Oreochromis niloticus: one gene and its partner. The protein of the gene in region 1 purifies or fractionates together with the protein of each later gene. This does not show direct contact. Links are inferred from orthologs where the notes say so. Each region holds a gene or a part of one and is shown in the gene's direction. Other genes may lie near its edges.

Region 1 (8,493 bases):
GCCTTAATAAAAACAAACAGGTGAGATGTTACGACGTGTTATTTTTATTTTAGTGGACACTAAAATAATTACAACAGACAGCTGCTGGGGTTTGGAAGAGAACTGAACAAATATTTAAATTATAATCTGATCATTTTGAAGCAGCCTTCAGAATCTAGTATTAACATGCTGTTTTTGTTCCCAGTGAAAATGTTTCCTCCTGAATTGAAATATATCTCAGCCAAACCGATTTTGTTTGGAAATTTGTGATATCTTGATTAATCGAGCAGATATTTGAAGCGTACACAGCTACATTCTCACTTCAAAATAACTTAAACGTTTATTTTGTGACCCAGAAAGAGTAATATTTAAAAGTTTTTAGCCGCGCTCCTCCGCCATTGCCGCGTTTGGGTTTTGTACTGATCACGAGTACACGAGAATGCAAGTACGCACAAGTACGCATATTGAGACAGGCCCCTTGTGTATTTCTTTATTGACACACATCTCCGCTGGTAAAGTGTTGGAATCTCATTCTGGGCTCATTTCCTTCCTTTCCTCTTCTTTCCTCTTTATTTCCTTCTCTGTCCCCTCATTTGCTACCTCCTTATTTCCTTCCTTCCTTATTTCCTTCTTCCTCCTCGTGTGCTTCACTCAGCAGGTGTAAATCACCTTCTAAATGAGGTGAAAATAAATCTGAGAGTTTGTTTCTTTACGTTAATCTGGAGTGAGCCTCATCTGTGACACAGATTATAATCGATTTTTATTAATTCATTGTTTTTCTTTTCTACGTTTATTCTTTTAAACATTTTTAACCTGTCAGAACGGCTCCTTGTTTGTGAGAATAATAACAAAGTTTAACAATAATATGAAATGTCAGACTTCAGGGGAAACCTGTCCTTCAGAGCCATCGTGTGTTCATCACTGCATTCAGGGTTCAAGCTCATGAATGGGAAATCTGTTGCTCACTTTGCTTCAGGTCTGAAACTGATCAGCGATCCCAGAGGAACATCGAGAACGATCAGCACTGATGATCATGCAGAAAGATGCAGGGAATTCTTTTAAAGAACAGGTTTTTATTCGTGGCAGTGAAGAAGAAACTGGAACTTTTCCATCATTTACTTATTCATGCATTACTTGATTAGATGAGGTTTTTATCAGAGACTGGAAGGTCAGCTCTGTAGTTCTGATGGATAACGACGCATCACGCTCACAGAAAAGCTGAACCTCTGTGAACATTTTACCATCAGCAGTAAAACTTCAAAGAAGCTGAAGCTCAGACACGCACATCTGATTACAGAGTTTATCTGCTTTGTTTTATTTTACTTATTTATTTACCCTGGATATGATGAGATGCACTGAGCTTCTGTAAAAACTTTATTTAAACGTGTGAGTACACTCTGGTCAAAGATGATGTTGTGTTGTTCTGTTTACACTTAAATAAAGACTTGAATCCTCTTAAAATCATCAATTTCTGTTTTTATTTACAATCATTTTATTTACGCAGCATCACAGCTTAGTCACATGTTCGTCGGTTTAACATCCATTTCTTCTCACGGCGCTCGTATCCAACTGTTCGTCTGTGGTCGATGACTCTGTCTACTCTGTCGACACGTTTAAATAAAGCTTTTTTGAACACGCTACTCGCTGTCCCGTGACAATCGTCTGAGGGGTCCTCCTGTGTGGACGACGGTGAGGCCACAGGTCGCTGCAGCATGACGTCACCGTAGAAACACCATGGTAACAAGACCTGCGAGACAACCACAGTATCACTGCTTCCTTCTCTACCTCCTCATTTCCTTTTCTGCCTCCGTCTTTGTATGTTTTTGTGTACTTCTGAATCTTCAACTTCTCGTTCCCTTATCCCCCATCTCATTTCCTTTTCTACCTCCTTAGCTTTCCCTCCAACTACATTCTTGTTTCCTTTTCATTCCTGCCCTTCTCTCCTAATTCCTTCTCTAGATCTAGTTTCTTTTCCGCTTCCTTATTTCCTTTTCTAGTTTCCTGTTTGCGTCTTTATCACCACATTTCCTTCCGAGACTCCTTCCTTTCTGCTCTGACTTCTCATTTCCTTAACTGTCCCTTCATTTCTCCTTTCTTCACCTATAACTGTTCTTCTCTACTTCCTTGTTTCCTTCTCTATCTATTTCAATTCTTTACCTTCTTTTTGCTTACTTTTCCACTGTCGCATTTCCTTCCTGTCTCCCCTCTCTCTCAGGTCATACAGACGTGTGTGTGTGTATGTATGTGTGTGTGTGTGTGTGCGCGTGGTGTTACCCAGTGTGTAGGCGCAGACCAGCTTCTGATTGGTGGAGACTTGCAGCCAGTGTGGAACCAGCGAGTTGCTGTCAGTGTGCAGGGGGAGCATCAACACTGTGACACACAGCACCGCCACAGCCACACACACCGCCCACTGAGACGCGCTGCGCACAGCTGCAGACACACACACAGACACATCATCAGTAAGATCAACTCTGCACCCGCGAATGCACTGCTACAGGAACCAATCAGAGCACTCCATGGTGCCTTACCTGTGCAGGCAGGCAGGTGTGCCTGTGCGGGCAGAAGCTGAGAAGTAGGACGGGGCGGCGCCCTTTGTTGACCTCCTCTTTGCTCCTCTTCCTCTCGTCCTCCTCTAAGCTCCGCCCAGATCTCCCGTCGTCCCACCTGGCCTCCGCCCCTAACCTCCATGCGGAACCGGTCCCTGCGGCCACAGTTTCTGGGGGAGACGTCCAGGTGACGCACGACCCTGACAGGAAAATGAAATGCTTGATTGCATGAGAGCCTCGTTATGGAATAAGTTTTAAATAAAGTTTGAAACACTCACAGGTCGACGCAGGACTTGGCCCGGATGCTGCCCTCTGCCTCCACCACCCTGTAGAACGAGGGCGCTGTGCACCACACTGTGAGGACAGAGAGAGAGGCTGTTAGAGGCAGCGGCGGCGTGACCAGGGGCCTAAACATGGCTGCACTCACTCTTGAAGCTGAGGCTGAAGCTGTAGGGTTGTAAAGGGTCAGCACCCTCCTATGGGAGCTCCTCTGCTCGGCGTAGAACACCATCTCCGAGGGGAACAGGAAGACGGCAAGCCGCGGCATGCCCCCCGCCGCCACGCTCTGCTCCCCCGCCACTGCCGACCCCCCCTCGTCTCCTCGCCCGTCATGGCTCTGCCTCCTCCTCATTAGTCCGCTCTGTGTGGAGCCCCGCCCGCGGACATGATCGGAGAGCTGTCATTGGATACCTAGAGGTAACACCGCCTACCAAAACAGTGAGAAAAAAAAATCATTTAACGAGGAGAAAAAAGTTTCTCTTTCCTAGGCTGTGGCTCCTTGGATCCTCCTCTGCTCCTTATTTTGCACAATGCCTCCTTGTTACCTCTCCTTACTTCTTTCCCCCTCCTTCTCGTCCTTTCTGTGTCCTCATTTCAACCCTTCCCCCTTTATTTACTTTCCTTCCTCATATCCCTCTTTCCTGCCTTTTCTCTGCCACCATGATTCTTACCTGATACCTTGCTGCCTTCTGTACGTCTTTCCTTCCTTCTGTTTGTTTGTTTACTTCTCTACCTCCTCTTATCCTTCTGTGCTTCTTCCCTTCCTTTTCTGTTTCCGTGTTTACTTCTCTAGCTCCTCGTTTCCTTCCCTAAACAAACAGGACCCAGCATGTAAACAGTGGAGAACAAACACAGGTAACGCCTCATAAATAAGTACCTCAGCTCCTGTGTATCCCTCCGCAGCCAGCCTGTAGTATAAATTGTTTATTTCTGGATCTCTGTGTAAAAAACTCCGAAAAACTTCACTAACAGACTTTCTGTTAGTGAGCTTCCTGCTGTTTGCTAACGCTAGCTGCCCAATCACTCCGACCCGCCAAAACACCGGTAATGTGACGCAGCAGAAACTGTCGCCAGCTCCGCGGTATGATCTCCGGCTGTCGGACGGTCACACCGAGGCGTTTTATGGGAGTTTAATCCGGTAAAAAACAAAAACAAAACAGAAATAACACCGCTCAGTGTTTCTACTCACCGCTGCCCCCGGATCTACTTCCTCAGCAAGCTGTTGCTTGTGATAAATCCCTCCCCCTCTCTAGCTCTAAACCAATGAGCGTTCGGAAAGAATCCCAGCCTTCTGTTGTTTTGTGTGTCACATCAGACTCCTTAGTTTGACGCTGTGTTTACGCTGAAATGATGGTGGCAACAGTTGTAATTCATTTTTAATTCTGAAACTAAACAAGAAATCAGTTTGGATGTATTAAAGCCATAATATTCAAGAGAATGGTACAACAATGGTTGCTACAATGTTTCAACCATGCTACAAGAAAATGTTTTCTTTCTGTGGCTCTCGGAGGAGGCGGACGCATCTTTCACCCTCTCCTTATCTTTCTGGATTATCCTTTTGTGTTACACATTTCACAGTTTTTTTTCCTTTGCTACCTAGCCTGACCTGTACGGTCGGCAAGGTCTCTCATCTCGGTTGTGGGCAACTGCAACTGACAAATAAAAGCCATCTCATCTCGTCACAATGGTACAACATTATAAGCAATAAATTATTTAACAAATAATTGCGGCTTTTAGTTTCCTAATTTAAAAATTAAACATTTATATAACGTCCTACCAGTTATACACTTTTAAATGTATGTTTTCTACATATTTATACATATACTTGATTAAATAACCAGCATCTGCTGCATTCAAGAACTCTCGGAAATGAAAGACATAAGAATGCCATGCACGAATTTTTAGTTGAGTAGGCCTATCGCAGAAGCAAATCAATGTTTAATTTCATTTTTGTCTTTATCAAAAGGCTCGTCATCGTTTCAAGTATCAGTCTGTATAAACATGTTTTTGGTCAAATGATGATGAATTCATAATCAACTTCACGTGTGTAATTTATTGCATGTCATTTTAAAATAACATTTTACTTATTTATATAACATCAGTAAGCTAAAGACTACAGCCTTCTAAATATCGGATATGCGCTGTACGTCATTAACTTCGCTGTATTAGTTGATAGAGTTCGGATGGAGGAGTTTAGAATGAGACCTTGAACGTCGCACGTTGATCGTTCCTCGTCTCCTGATTGGTCCGTTGCTCTTCGTGTCTCGGGACGCGTCCGCTTTATAGAGTCACCTTGCTGCTCTTGCTGCCGCCGCTGAGACAGGGAGAAAGCAGGCGGAAAGCTCGGCCCAAAGGCACACAGGCAGGCGGGCGGCAGAAATCTGAACGCAGACTCTGCGGCCACTGACCGATCGGGGGAAACATGGCGGATGCGAAGCCCAAGACCTCCCGAAGGCCATCAAGTTCCTGTTCGGGGGCTGGCTGGGTAGGTGATGCGGCTAGCTGCCATGCTATCGCGCTAATGTCAGGGGTCAGAGGAGAGCTCTGGTCAGTTTAAACCCGCTCTGTGTCAAACCTCTATGCGGTTTAAAGGACAGCACGGAGGCCGTTACCTCGGCGGAGCGACACGCTGATGGTTAGCTGTTAGCAGCTGATGCTGGCTGTCACAGGACGGGCTGCACCCCGATAACTCAGCGGGGACGGTTTTCATCAGCACACCGGTGTCATGACGAAATCTGGGCACCTCTCTACATGTGTTAGCCAGCCGTGTTCGAGTAGAGCTTCCTGTCTCTTTTTTCTCACCAGAACACGTTTAAACATGTAAACTCGTAAAAGTCCTGAAAATGTTCCGCTTGTATCCCCGGGAAATTATTTGTTAAAGCGTCCCGCCTGGGCTCTACACCGAGGAGTGCTAGCAGGCTAACGCTGGATTAGCAGCGAAGCTTCCCTAAAGTAAACTCTGACAGCAGATGAGGGGAGGTCGCACCAGTCAGGGGGACCTGACGTCGGCTCCCCGGTCTGAGCTCAGCCCTGGCCGAGTTCCCGTTAGCATGCTAACTGTAGCCGGGATGGATGACAGCTTTATGACCATGATGATGAAGATGATGTAACCGGGTTTAGAGTCCTCTAAACTCTGAAATCAGGTTCAGTTAGACTCTGATCCATGTTTATCACAAAACATTTACAAATTTAATCATGTATCATAAAAGTTATGGTTAATTAAGCCAATTAATAATTTGATGAATGAATTAAAATTATAATCTCAATAATTATCTCATACTGCGCCTCAGTGATTGGATGCCCCTCACGCAACAGGGTGTGTGACTATCTCTGACATCATATTGATCCAAAAATAGAAAAAAAAATGATAAACTGAACAATTTGACCTTTTGGCTCACAGGGATTAGTGAACGTATGCTGACATGAAGGTTAACATGAGTGTGTGAGAGGAAATATGGAGAACCAGGCTGTTCAGTAACTCTATCTTCTTAAACTGAATGTTTGCTTTCAAGTGTGTGTGTGTCAGGTTACTTTAGCAGGCGTAGCAGGTTAAACAGCTTCATGATAAACAGTTGAAGGTCACCAAATGTTGACAGTATGGCTGCTTCTTACAAACTTAGTGAGGTGGTGTCAACAGTTGACTTTATTTCAAACTTGCACACATTTTTTCATATACATATCTCAGAAACTATAAAAGTTAAAAATAAAGGCATGACTTAATATTAGAGCTGTAGGTTTGCATATTAATTTATATTTTAATCCATATTTGGTGTGAATCAGAGATAATTTAGAGGTATGTCTGCACCATCTCTAATTTTACAGTTTGTAATTTGTCATTCGTCAGGATCCCAGCACGCTCTTCTGTGAAGCTTCATTTGAGAAAAATAAATGAACGTGTTCTGATTTAAAAGACAAGAATCGCTGCCCCAGGCAGGTTTTCATCATCGTGAGTTAATCTGTGCTCTCTCACCTGCTGCCGTCTGGGTTTTCTGAGGGAGGCTAAACTCTCACCTCCTGATAAACCCACAGTACCAGCTCTTCCAGTCCCTGATAACTTATCACTGCAGAGTTACCACATCGCTGCAGCTTCACTACTAACAGGAGTGTAAATTCATTAGAGGAAAACACCTCTGTTCTCGAACTGCGCTTGAACTCGAGCTACCATGTTTTAGTTTTTACTGTCTCCCTTAACTGTAAAACTCCTCCCTTATGTTCTTTTCAAATAAAAAAAAACTTTTTAAGTGAACTTTGATTTATTTTGATCACATTGTTTGGATTTCAGTGGAAGTTGTTGGAACAGTCAGTCCAAAGGTCTCATTTTATAAGTTACGATTTAAATCGGTTCAGACATCTAAAATAAAGTGTCAGATACGTGAAAACAAGTCTGCGCTCCCAGGTTTTGTTGTCTTTGAATGTGCCAAAAAGTACTTGCTTTCATGTTTTCTCGGTAATGCTTCAGCTTTAATAAACGGATCTGTCCTGTTTCTGCAGGATGGGCGCGACCGTCTTCGTGCAGCCGTTGGACCTGGTGAAGAACAGGATGCAGCTGAGCGGTCAGGGGACGAAGGCTCGAGAGTATAAAACCAGCTTCCACGCCTTGTTCTCCATCCTGAGAAACGAGGGCGTGCGAGGCATCTACACCGGGTACCAGCGCTTCACCCCATCCTGATTTTTATCATTTTAACTCTCGTTTTGTCTCCCTGCTTCACTGTGAGTTTCTTTGTGTGTTTGTCAGTCTGTCAGCAGGTCTTTTGCGTCAGGCGACCTACACGACGACCCGTCTGGGAATCTACACCATCCTGTTTGAGAAAATGACCAGCAGTGACGGCCGGCCGCCGAACTTCTTCCTCAAGGTGCGCTGAAAGAGTGAAAGGCTTATGAGCTCTGAAATCATCTAACCAGAAGCTGGTAGAAAGCTTTTAATCAGTGGTAAAGGTGTAGATGCTATAGCACCCTCCATGCTGCTGAGTAACAGTGTGCTCCCCCTACAGGCTCTGATTGGTATGACAGCTGGAGCCATCGGAGCATTTGTGGGGACGCCAGCAGAGGTGGCGCTGATCAGGATGACGGCCGATGGACGGTGAGACTGTTTACCTTGGAGCAGCTTTCTCTGCACGGCATGGACACAAAATGACTCGCAGGCGTTTTCCTCACCGTTTGTGTCTCCAGGTTACCTGTAGACCAGCGGAGAGGATACAAGAACGTTTTTAATGCCCTCTTTCGAATAACCAAAGAGGAAGGTGTCACTACACTGTGGAGGGTGAGCCTACCATCATCATCATCATCACCATCATTTTCTTCACTTGGGCCTGCATGAGTAGCCATTAGTCCAGATGCAGTAATTTAATGTCGAAATTTTAATTGATAAAAAGGTTTGTGTCCTGAAGTGGTCCTTCACCCTGAGTAGATGCTGCCCGATTTAACATCACACGAACATTACATTAGTTATTTTTTATTTTTCTTATTTGTTTGTTTAATTTTTATTTGTTTAACTATTTATAGTTTTTCAAGCTGTTGTACTGTTATTAATATGTGTGAAAGCAGTTAATGGGAACAGTGAGCTACGGCTGCAGCTTTTATTGAAGCTCACTGGTGCGAATCCTGAGCAAAAACAAGAAAAATTACCTCAGTTTTGATTCTCTGATATTTTTGAATTTGGCTTTTTCACAGCTTATCCTCATCTTTCCAA
Region 2 (7,928 bases), on another chromosome or scaffold:
TAAAGCATGGAGAAGACACAACCTCTTGGAATCTGAAAACTCTGGTGCCCTTATTGGCATTCACGGCAAAGATCCACATAATGGTAAAAAAGGGATAAATCAAATTTAACCAAACAAAACTAAACCCCTGTCATGTAAAGCCCTTAGCACAGGTGAGAGAGCAGCGATGCTGCGTACCTCCAGCCGTCTTGTCTCAGGTAGCTGAAAGCCCCATCAACCACACTGGCAATGAACTGGCCACCAGTGATAAAGAGGGAATTGATGGTGACCAGCTGACCTCGCAGGTGAGGAGGGGAAACTTCTGCGATGTACACAGGAACAGTCATGGAAGCAATGCCTAAAGGCAAGGAGGGGAACAGTTTCATGCTAATGTACAACAGATGCATTCCCACAGACAATTCATATTACATCCTAGCTCTGTGTTTGAATACGGCAAATATTGAATAATGAAAGTCAAACAAAGGGCTCCTTATAAGAAGCAAAATCATAATGGTGACTTTACCTCGATACAAGCTGTAGTGTTAAATAAAACAACTCACCTATGCCCAAACCAACTGTAATTCTGCCAACAAGGAGGACCACCTTGTCTGGGGCAAGACTCAAGATGATGCCACCGACAGTGAAGATAAAGCTGGCCACAAGGATACAGATCCTGCGCCCCAGCCACCCGTTCAGGTAGCCTCCACTCAGGGCAGAAAGCGCTGCAGCTCCCACAGTACTGGAAACCAGCAGCTCCTGCCACAGAGCATTCAGGTTCATTTCCTTCTTTAGGAGAATCATGGCTCCAGAAACCACTCCAGTGTCATACCCAAAGAGGAATCCCCCCAAGGCAGAGAAAAATGCCAACAAATAGACAAAAAGCGGCTTGGGGGCATCCTGGTCTAGGAGATTCTCATCCACATGCCTAGATGGAGGTCCTATGAGACTCCGCTCTCCATCGTCCCCGGCTTTCTGTCTCCTGCTGGCCATAAGGTTGCTCATGTGCTCCAAGCTGTACTCATCATAGCTGCTGGACATAGGAGAAACCAGAGGTTAAGCTCACCAGGGGTTGCAGGTCACCACTTTATTAAATAAGCCAGGTGACATACTTCTGTGAGGAAGTGGCGGTGACGTGTACATGGATGCAGTCATTTCCCATTAATACAGATTACAAAAAATAATCATTTTGTTGTTGTTGTCGTTTTCCCCCCAACAAAAAAATAGCAATATTTTCAGTGCCACACTTTCCGTTAACCTCTAAGTTAAAGTCCAAACCTGGGGGTGTTTTTAGGTGTCCAGCTCGAGAAAGCAACACGTCGTGATTTTAGCAGCTATACTAGCTAACTTTGATGACGACAACATTTCGTGACAAACTCCTGTGGTTAACCGAGCGCCAGATTCTGCTTGTGTCGCAGATTTCGGAGTCGCGCCGTGGGAAAGCTGCCTAAACAGTGTAGGTTGATGACTTTAAACAGACTTTAGATGTTTTTGTTCACCACTGACAGCGCTACTGCTTTGCTCTGCGTGCAGCCATGTTTGTGCGTGAGGTCACGTGCCCACCCGGCTACAAAAACAATGTTGTTTCTTTTTTTCAAACTGAGTGTTTACAATGTCCCTACAGCACCGTGCCAAACTCCATCCAAAATGTCATTTTTAACGAATTTGTGCTCAGCGGAGACTGTTGTGCACGTAAAACCAGAGTTGACAGCACATGTATTGTCTACTCGAAAATTCGGCAGAGATGTGAGCGAACAATTTTCATTCAGATTACTTTTTTCCCCATGTATATATTTTTCATTCATCTATTTTTCATTACTTTCATGTGTATTTCCGAATGTAACTTCTACTTCATTTATTCGTATAATGCTAAAAGTACGGAATGGTAAGTGACCCTTATGCCCCTCGTCCCCATAAGTTATCTGTTTGCAGTAAAGTCAAATAAGTCGCATTATTGGACTTTAGCCTGTCAGGTCACCTTAACTATCTGTGAAAAAACTCTACCATACCTGTAAAAAAGCTGCTTTCCTCCAGCGCACAGTGCTGCTGTCGATATGCTCTTCAACAAACAGGAAGTCTGTTATGTGGATCATATGATATTATCCCTGAAAAAAAAAACGTAAACACGCCCATTTGAACTGTAAAATGTAGCCCAACTGGTTCTTTTTATGGTAGTCGTGATTAATGAGCCAAGACAGCAAGAATTTGCACTGGCCACAAAACATGGCAAAGATTTTAACTGTGAGCACTTTATTATGCGCTATTAGTAAGTTTGGGCAGATTTAGATGGATACGTTTCGCGGAGGTAAATATTAACTATTACTTTAGAGAACAAACAGACACTTGACAGATAAAGACACGTTTTCCACCGGGCTTTCCTACATATAAATTGTGCAAAAAGCAAAACCCATCCAAATCGTGGTCTAATGTATACTTTAAAACACACTAAGCAGTCTTGAGTCCTACAATAAAATTTCAGGACTACAATCTCTAAACAACAAGTGACCGAATACAAAAAATATAACATACATCAACAATAGCATAACATGAATGCCCAGTGGTCACGTGAATAACACTGATTATGTGTTAGTGGGTGGGATATATTTGTGAAGGCTAAACAACTGAGTCAGAGCATCTCCAATACTAAACTGTTTAGGAGCAGTGTTAAATCAGCAACAAGGTCATGAGCCCTCAAGGCTCACTGATAGCCTACACATGGGGAGCAAAGAATGGTCTGTGTGGTCCGATTCAACAATTCATGCATGTTCTGATAGAAAGGTGTGGGAATACAAATGTTTTTTGTTTTTTTTGTTTGTTTGTTTTCTTTTGGGGGGGGGGGCAAGTAAACCAGAGACAACTCTGGTGATATCAGTCGCACAATTACAGTTTGAATCTTGGGGGGGGGGGGCATAATTAAGGTGGAGGTAAAAGATTTCTGGGAAAAGTGAAGTCATGAGTACCGACGAAGGTGCCAACAATGGATGCATGAGGATTAGAAATAGATTTAGAAGTTTCTCTTCCTTCTTTCTTTATTTAAGTAGTCTTTCAGAATAGTTTTGAATGATAAAAAAAAAAAACTGCTGAAAAGTGAAGATATTTAGGCATATCACTGGTTCATCCCCTACACTAAAATTACAAGAAAAAGTACAGTCTAACTTTCAGTCTTCCTCCTGTGATCGATGACGTTTCTTTTATCTGCAGACATTTTTAAAAATGAGCCGTGGGGTTGTACCCAATGCTAAATACAGGAAAAATAAGATATGACCACGATGTCAAGCTGATATTCTGTGCTCACCGACTCTCATCCAATCCTCAAATCAGATGGTGCTCTCCTTGCCAGGGAACAGCTGGACCTGAACCACAGCTTCCAGGGATACTGGACGTACCTAGACTATAACATAGTTTGTACTTGTGTTATATAACTTAAACAACATAGTTTTGTCAATGATTTCTTGTTTTAGCCTCACACTCATTTACTTTCCTCTCTGTGGGAGAAAAAGGTCCACCCTTCACACAAGTGTCCAGAACATAGGGCCACAGGTCTGATGATACAATTACAAAATTGATCATCAACCTGCAGCCTAGGGTCTCTTATTGCCATGTGCAATTATAGACACCCTTATGTTTGAACATGGTCTTTGTTATCGACAATTTCTGGTTTGCACAGAAGTCTAGTAATAGAACATCACTCTGGTTCACATCTGGCAGGCCGTTCCTCCCAATCACGCGCCTCCGGGTCTCACTGTTGTTGCCCACATGAGCGTTGAAGTCTCCCAGTAAGACGACAGAGTCCCCAGGTGGAGCACCCCCAGGCACACCACCTAGGGACTCCAAGAAGGCCGGGTACTCTGAACCTTCGTTTGGTGCACGGGCGCAGACGACAGCCAGGACCCATTCTCCAACTCAAAGGTCCAGGGAACAAACCCTCTCATCCACCAGGAAAAACTCCAACTTATAGGCAGCAAGCCAAGCGGATGCTAACATATTCTGACCAAATTGTTTCCAATTTTCCACATTAGGTACAAAGCAACACTGAAAAAGCTTTTACTTTGGAAGCCAAATCATATTGCAAAAAAACAGCAATACAGTGTAACTCTAACAAGTGGGGATGGGTGCATTGATGCAAATATTGAAAGTACTGATCCCAGCATTGATATTGCTCCTGCTTCATGAAAAAGTATTAACGTCTGTGCAAACACCGGTCCTTTCAGGCAGCCACACTTTGCTCCACCCTCACCTCCTCCCTGTGGTTTGTTGCTGTGGAGTCACATGACTTAGGTGCACCTGGTGTCGAGATATTTATAGCTGTAAATGAAAACACTGCAAACAGCGATGCATGTAGGAATTTCTCCACTATGACTTTATTGTGTCACAACTAGACAACAGTGGCAGTACAGATTAAAAGTATACAGTTTTACTGTTGTTTACATTCAGTGATGCCACCTAGTTATGTTAATTCTATGTGGAGCTGCTGGTGTGGTGGGATTTTTGAGTTGAGGGGGCATTCCACAAAATATTTCTCACCGGGAATTCGGAACTTCCGACTTATTCAGGAACACAGCATTAAAAAAAACAAAGTATCGATCATATTACCTATTATCGATTCAATACCAATACAAGCTTTGGTATCGATCCGCTCACCCCTACTATACAGGGGTGATTACTTTGGGAGGACACCTAATTTAGAGACTAACTGAAATAATTAAAAAATATTTTAGAGTTTGCTTTAGTGTGGGAATTTTCCTCCATCATACACAGCAAATGTCAGTGCCAGGTCAAGCTGCATTGTTGTAAATCTGTAAATCAGCAACTGGCATTAGACGCAGAGTGGGAGGGCTCACTGAAGCCACTCGTTAGCCTGTAAAAGTGTAGCCTGAAGTAAAAAACAAAAAAACAAACAACAAAAAAACCGTTGGGGGGTAACGTAATAGCCGCTTGACTTGGCTCTCTGTCTGACTTGCTTCCCCTGCCAGAGAGAAAGTCGGATTCTCTCTGACTCTATTTTCAGCTTCCTCTTCTGTAAGCGGGGAGTTTTTACTGCCTGCAGTCATATGATGCGATCGTAGGAAAGCAGGAACACGCCTTTCAGAGAGGACTCGCTTCGTTTTCACATCCAAGCAACATAAAATCACCGACTCCGCAAAGAGGAACTTATTCTCTGCCACAGGAAAGTTAGCCGAGGACTGTGATGTCGGAACCGAAACTCCGCGACACTGACCGCTTCCCTTGTAGCGACAGCCACTTATAGCTGTCTGTAGCTACTGTATTATTATGCAACACAGCAATTCAGTAATGTTTTGTAAAGACATGAGTAACTACAGTGGATTTTCAGTGAGTTATTTATACGCTAATGCTGCGCTCAGTGTGGCCGCTCGAAGGCCGTTGTCGGTTCTGAGAGAGCGCAGTGATTGACCTCAATGCACGTCAAGTCGTCAGCTGGAACACCGCACTTTAAAGACCATGGTTAACAAAGAGGAGCTGGAAGAAAGGCTGAAAAAACTTTTGGTGAGGCTGAAAACTCCCCAGGAAGACAGGCAACTGTGCACGCTGATTCAAATCATCCAGGATCTGCTTTTCCTGGCGCACACCGACTATGGTAGGAAGCACATTGTTTCAGCGTGTGCATCATCACGCTGCTCATAAACAGCCATCATTTCCTTTTGGCATTTTTTCATTGCCTTATGAGAATTAGGTCAGATTAAAGTTTTTTTATTCAATCAAGTAGTATTTGCCCAGTGTGAAATGTGATATGACACTCACTACTTTTGCATGATCGTTTTTATGGTTTTATTTATTTCAGCCCACAATGTAATTCACTCTTCTTGGTTTTTGTTTGTTTGTTTGTTTTTTAACTCTGATCCTTTTGTGCATTTTTTCCCTTCCATCCTTCCATCTTCTAGTCTATTGATGCTGTATTTATTTGTTCATATGGTCTACTTTAAGGTTTGTTATACAGCAGGTTAATGATTTAGCTGTTTTGAGTAATTTCCCAGTTTTGGCGATAAATAAAGCATATCTTATCTTAAATACAAAACATAATGTCTTTGGGGTCATACTAAGGCCATTATAGTTTACTTAAAACTAGGTGTGAAAACACATTCAAGTTACCTGAAATCAAATTTAAAATGGGATTGACTTAGATTTGTAGATTTTAAGCACAGACTTGTACCTGCACAATGAAGCCCTGCTGTAATGCTGCCTTGTTATGCACATTTAAAAATAGGAATGAGGGTAAAAGACCCAGTCACTCTATTCAAAACTAATGGGACTCATCGTGTCTTCTTATCTCTTGTTCCATGTTGTAGCAGCTGAACTGTTTGAAGACAAAGATGTCCACGTGCCCCTCGTGCTGGTTCTGTCTACCCACATCAGCAGCAGAGGAGTCCAGCAGGTAATGAATGACACAACAAGAATTAGCCATTATTATGGCAGGTGGTGCTATCTGGGTGAGGTGAGGTGTGTTCAGCAGCATCACTCGCTAAAACAGCCTCAGCTCTTTGTTGTTGACAAATCATCTGTGGACTGACGCACCTATACATCTAGCATGTCTTGTGACTGACGTGTAATGCTAATTATCAGAGGTAAGACTGCATATTGAAGCAAACTGAAAGTGAGATTGTAAGATTCATATATGGCAGCAGGTTGTGGCGCTCTTTCTCAGTACTGTAATGTGTATGCTTGAGATCAGAATCATTACTTTTCATTGGTTTATTATAATGACTCATTCCCGTCATTTTAATAAATTGTTTGTTCTTCCTTTTTACAGGTTGGCTGGTCATTGCTGTGTCAGCTGATTGAAATATGCCCCACTACACTGGACCAGTTAACCAGACCTTTGGATGAAGCCCAAGAGTGGGAGGTAGAGGGAGTGCACCAGTAAGTGAAGACTCTCTGGCAGCTGTGGGCTTGATGCAGCACCACTCATTTAAATGAATGACTATCATGATGGCTCATGCCACACGAAGGTACATGAAGTATGTAGCCGTGGTCAAGACAACCTGCTCAAGTTCAAATCAAGCATTAAAATTGGAAGGAAAGGTGATTGGAGTGACTTTGAATGTTGCATGTTGTTGCTGTTGGTTCCAGATGGGCTGGGCTGAGTAATTCATAAACTGCTGGGTTTTTCCCACAGAACAATCTCTAGGGTTTACAGGGAGTGGTTCAAAGAAAAAATGTCCAGTGAACGGCAGTTCTCTGGGCAAAAACCCCTTGTTTATACCAAAGGTCAGATGACAGTAGTCAGACTTTATAGTAAGGCAAACAGTAACTCCAAAAACAACTTGGCACTATCAAGTTATGCAGTAGAGCATCTCTGAATGTTCTTCTGAGATGCACAGCAGAGATGCACAACATGTTGAACGCTGAAACAGCTACAGGGGCAGCAGACTGCACTGGGTGTCACTCCTGTCAACCAAGAACAGGAAACTAATGCTACAGTTAAAACAATCTTGTCAAAATTGGACGACAGAAAACTGGAAAAACGTTACCTGCTGTGATGTGGCTTGATTTCTGCTGCGACGTTCAAATGTGAGGGTCAGAGTTTGGGATAAACTGCATGAATGCATGGATCCATCCTGCCTTGTAGCAACTGTTCAGGCTGGTAGTGGCGAAATGGTTGTAATGCCACAGCGTAACCGAGTATGGTTGCTGATCATGTTCATCCTTTTATGACCAGTGTGCCCATCATCTTTAACACAACTGTGCACCATGTATAAGCTCAAATCATCCCAATCTGGTTTCTTGAACACAACAATGCCTATGCTGAACTTTAAATGACCTCCACAGTCACCAGTTCTCAGCCTGGTAGGACTCCTCTGGGATGTGGTGGAATAGGAGATTCGAGTCATGGTAAATCTCAAGGCAAAAAGGGGACTAACGGCCTGTGAGTGTAATTTCATTTGAAGTTGTTGTCGGGATTAAATAATCAAGTTAGTATTTAGGGTGAAGTAGTT

The links. The genes of interacting proteins can lie anywhere in the genome.
Region 2: the proteins of slc25a11 (region 1) and lrrk2 purify together in Homo sapiens (co-immunoprecipitation; 3 studies listed by IntAct, with this or other methods). This does not show direct contact. The link is inferred for Oreochromis niloticus from reciprocal best matches to the Homo sapiens genes SLC25A11 and LRRK2.

What each region holds. Positions count from the first base shown.
Region 1 is NC_031967.2:58,407,080-58,415,572, reverse strand, and holds the start of slc25a11 (mitochondrial 2-oxoglutarate/malate carrier protein), read left to right. Parts: upstream 1-5,041; 5' UTR 5,042-5,233; coding exon 5,234-5,289; intron 5,290-7,177; exon of another isoform or gene 7,178-7,200; intron 7,201-7,295; coding exon 7,296-7,448; intron 7,449-7,539; coding exon 7,540-7,657; intron 7,658-7,795; coding exon 7,796-7,884; intron 7,885-7,973; coding exon 7,974-8,064; intron 8,065-8,493. UniProt on the Homo sapiens protein: Catalyzes the transport of 2-oxoglutarate (alpha-oxoglutarate) across the inner mitochondrial membrane in an electroneutral exchange for malate.
Region 2 is NC_031972.2:42,293,174-42,301,101, reverse strand, and holds the start of lrrk2 (leucine-rich repeat serine/threonine-protein kinase 2), read left to right. Parts: upstream 1-4,859; 5' UTR 4,860-5,436; coding exon 5,437-5,572; intron 5,573-6,281; coding exon 6,282-6,367; intron 6,368-6,742; coding exon 6,743-6,852; intron 6,853-7,928. Other genes in the region: proton myo-inositol cotransporter, read right to left, coding at 178-337, 540-1,009, 1,089-1,138. UniProt on the Homo sapiens protein: Serine/threonine-protein kinase which phosphorylates a broad range of proteins involved in multiple processes such as neuronal plasticity, innate immunity, autophagy, and vesicle trafficking.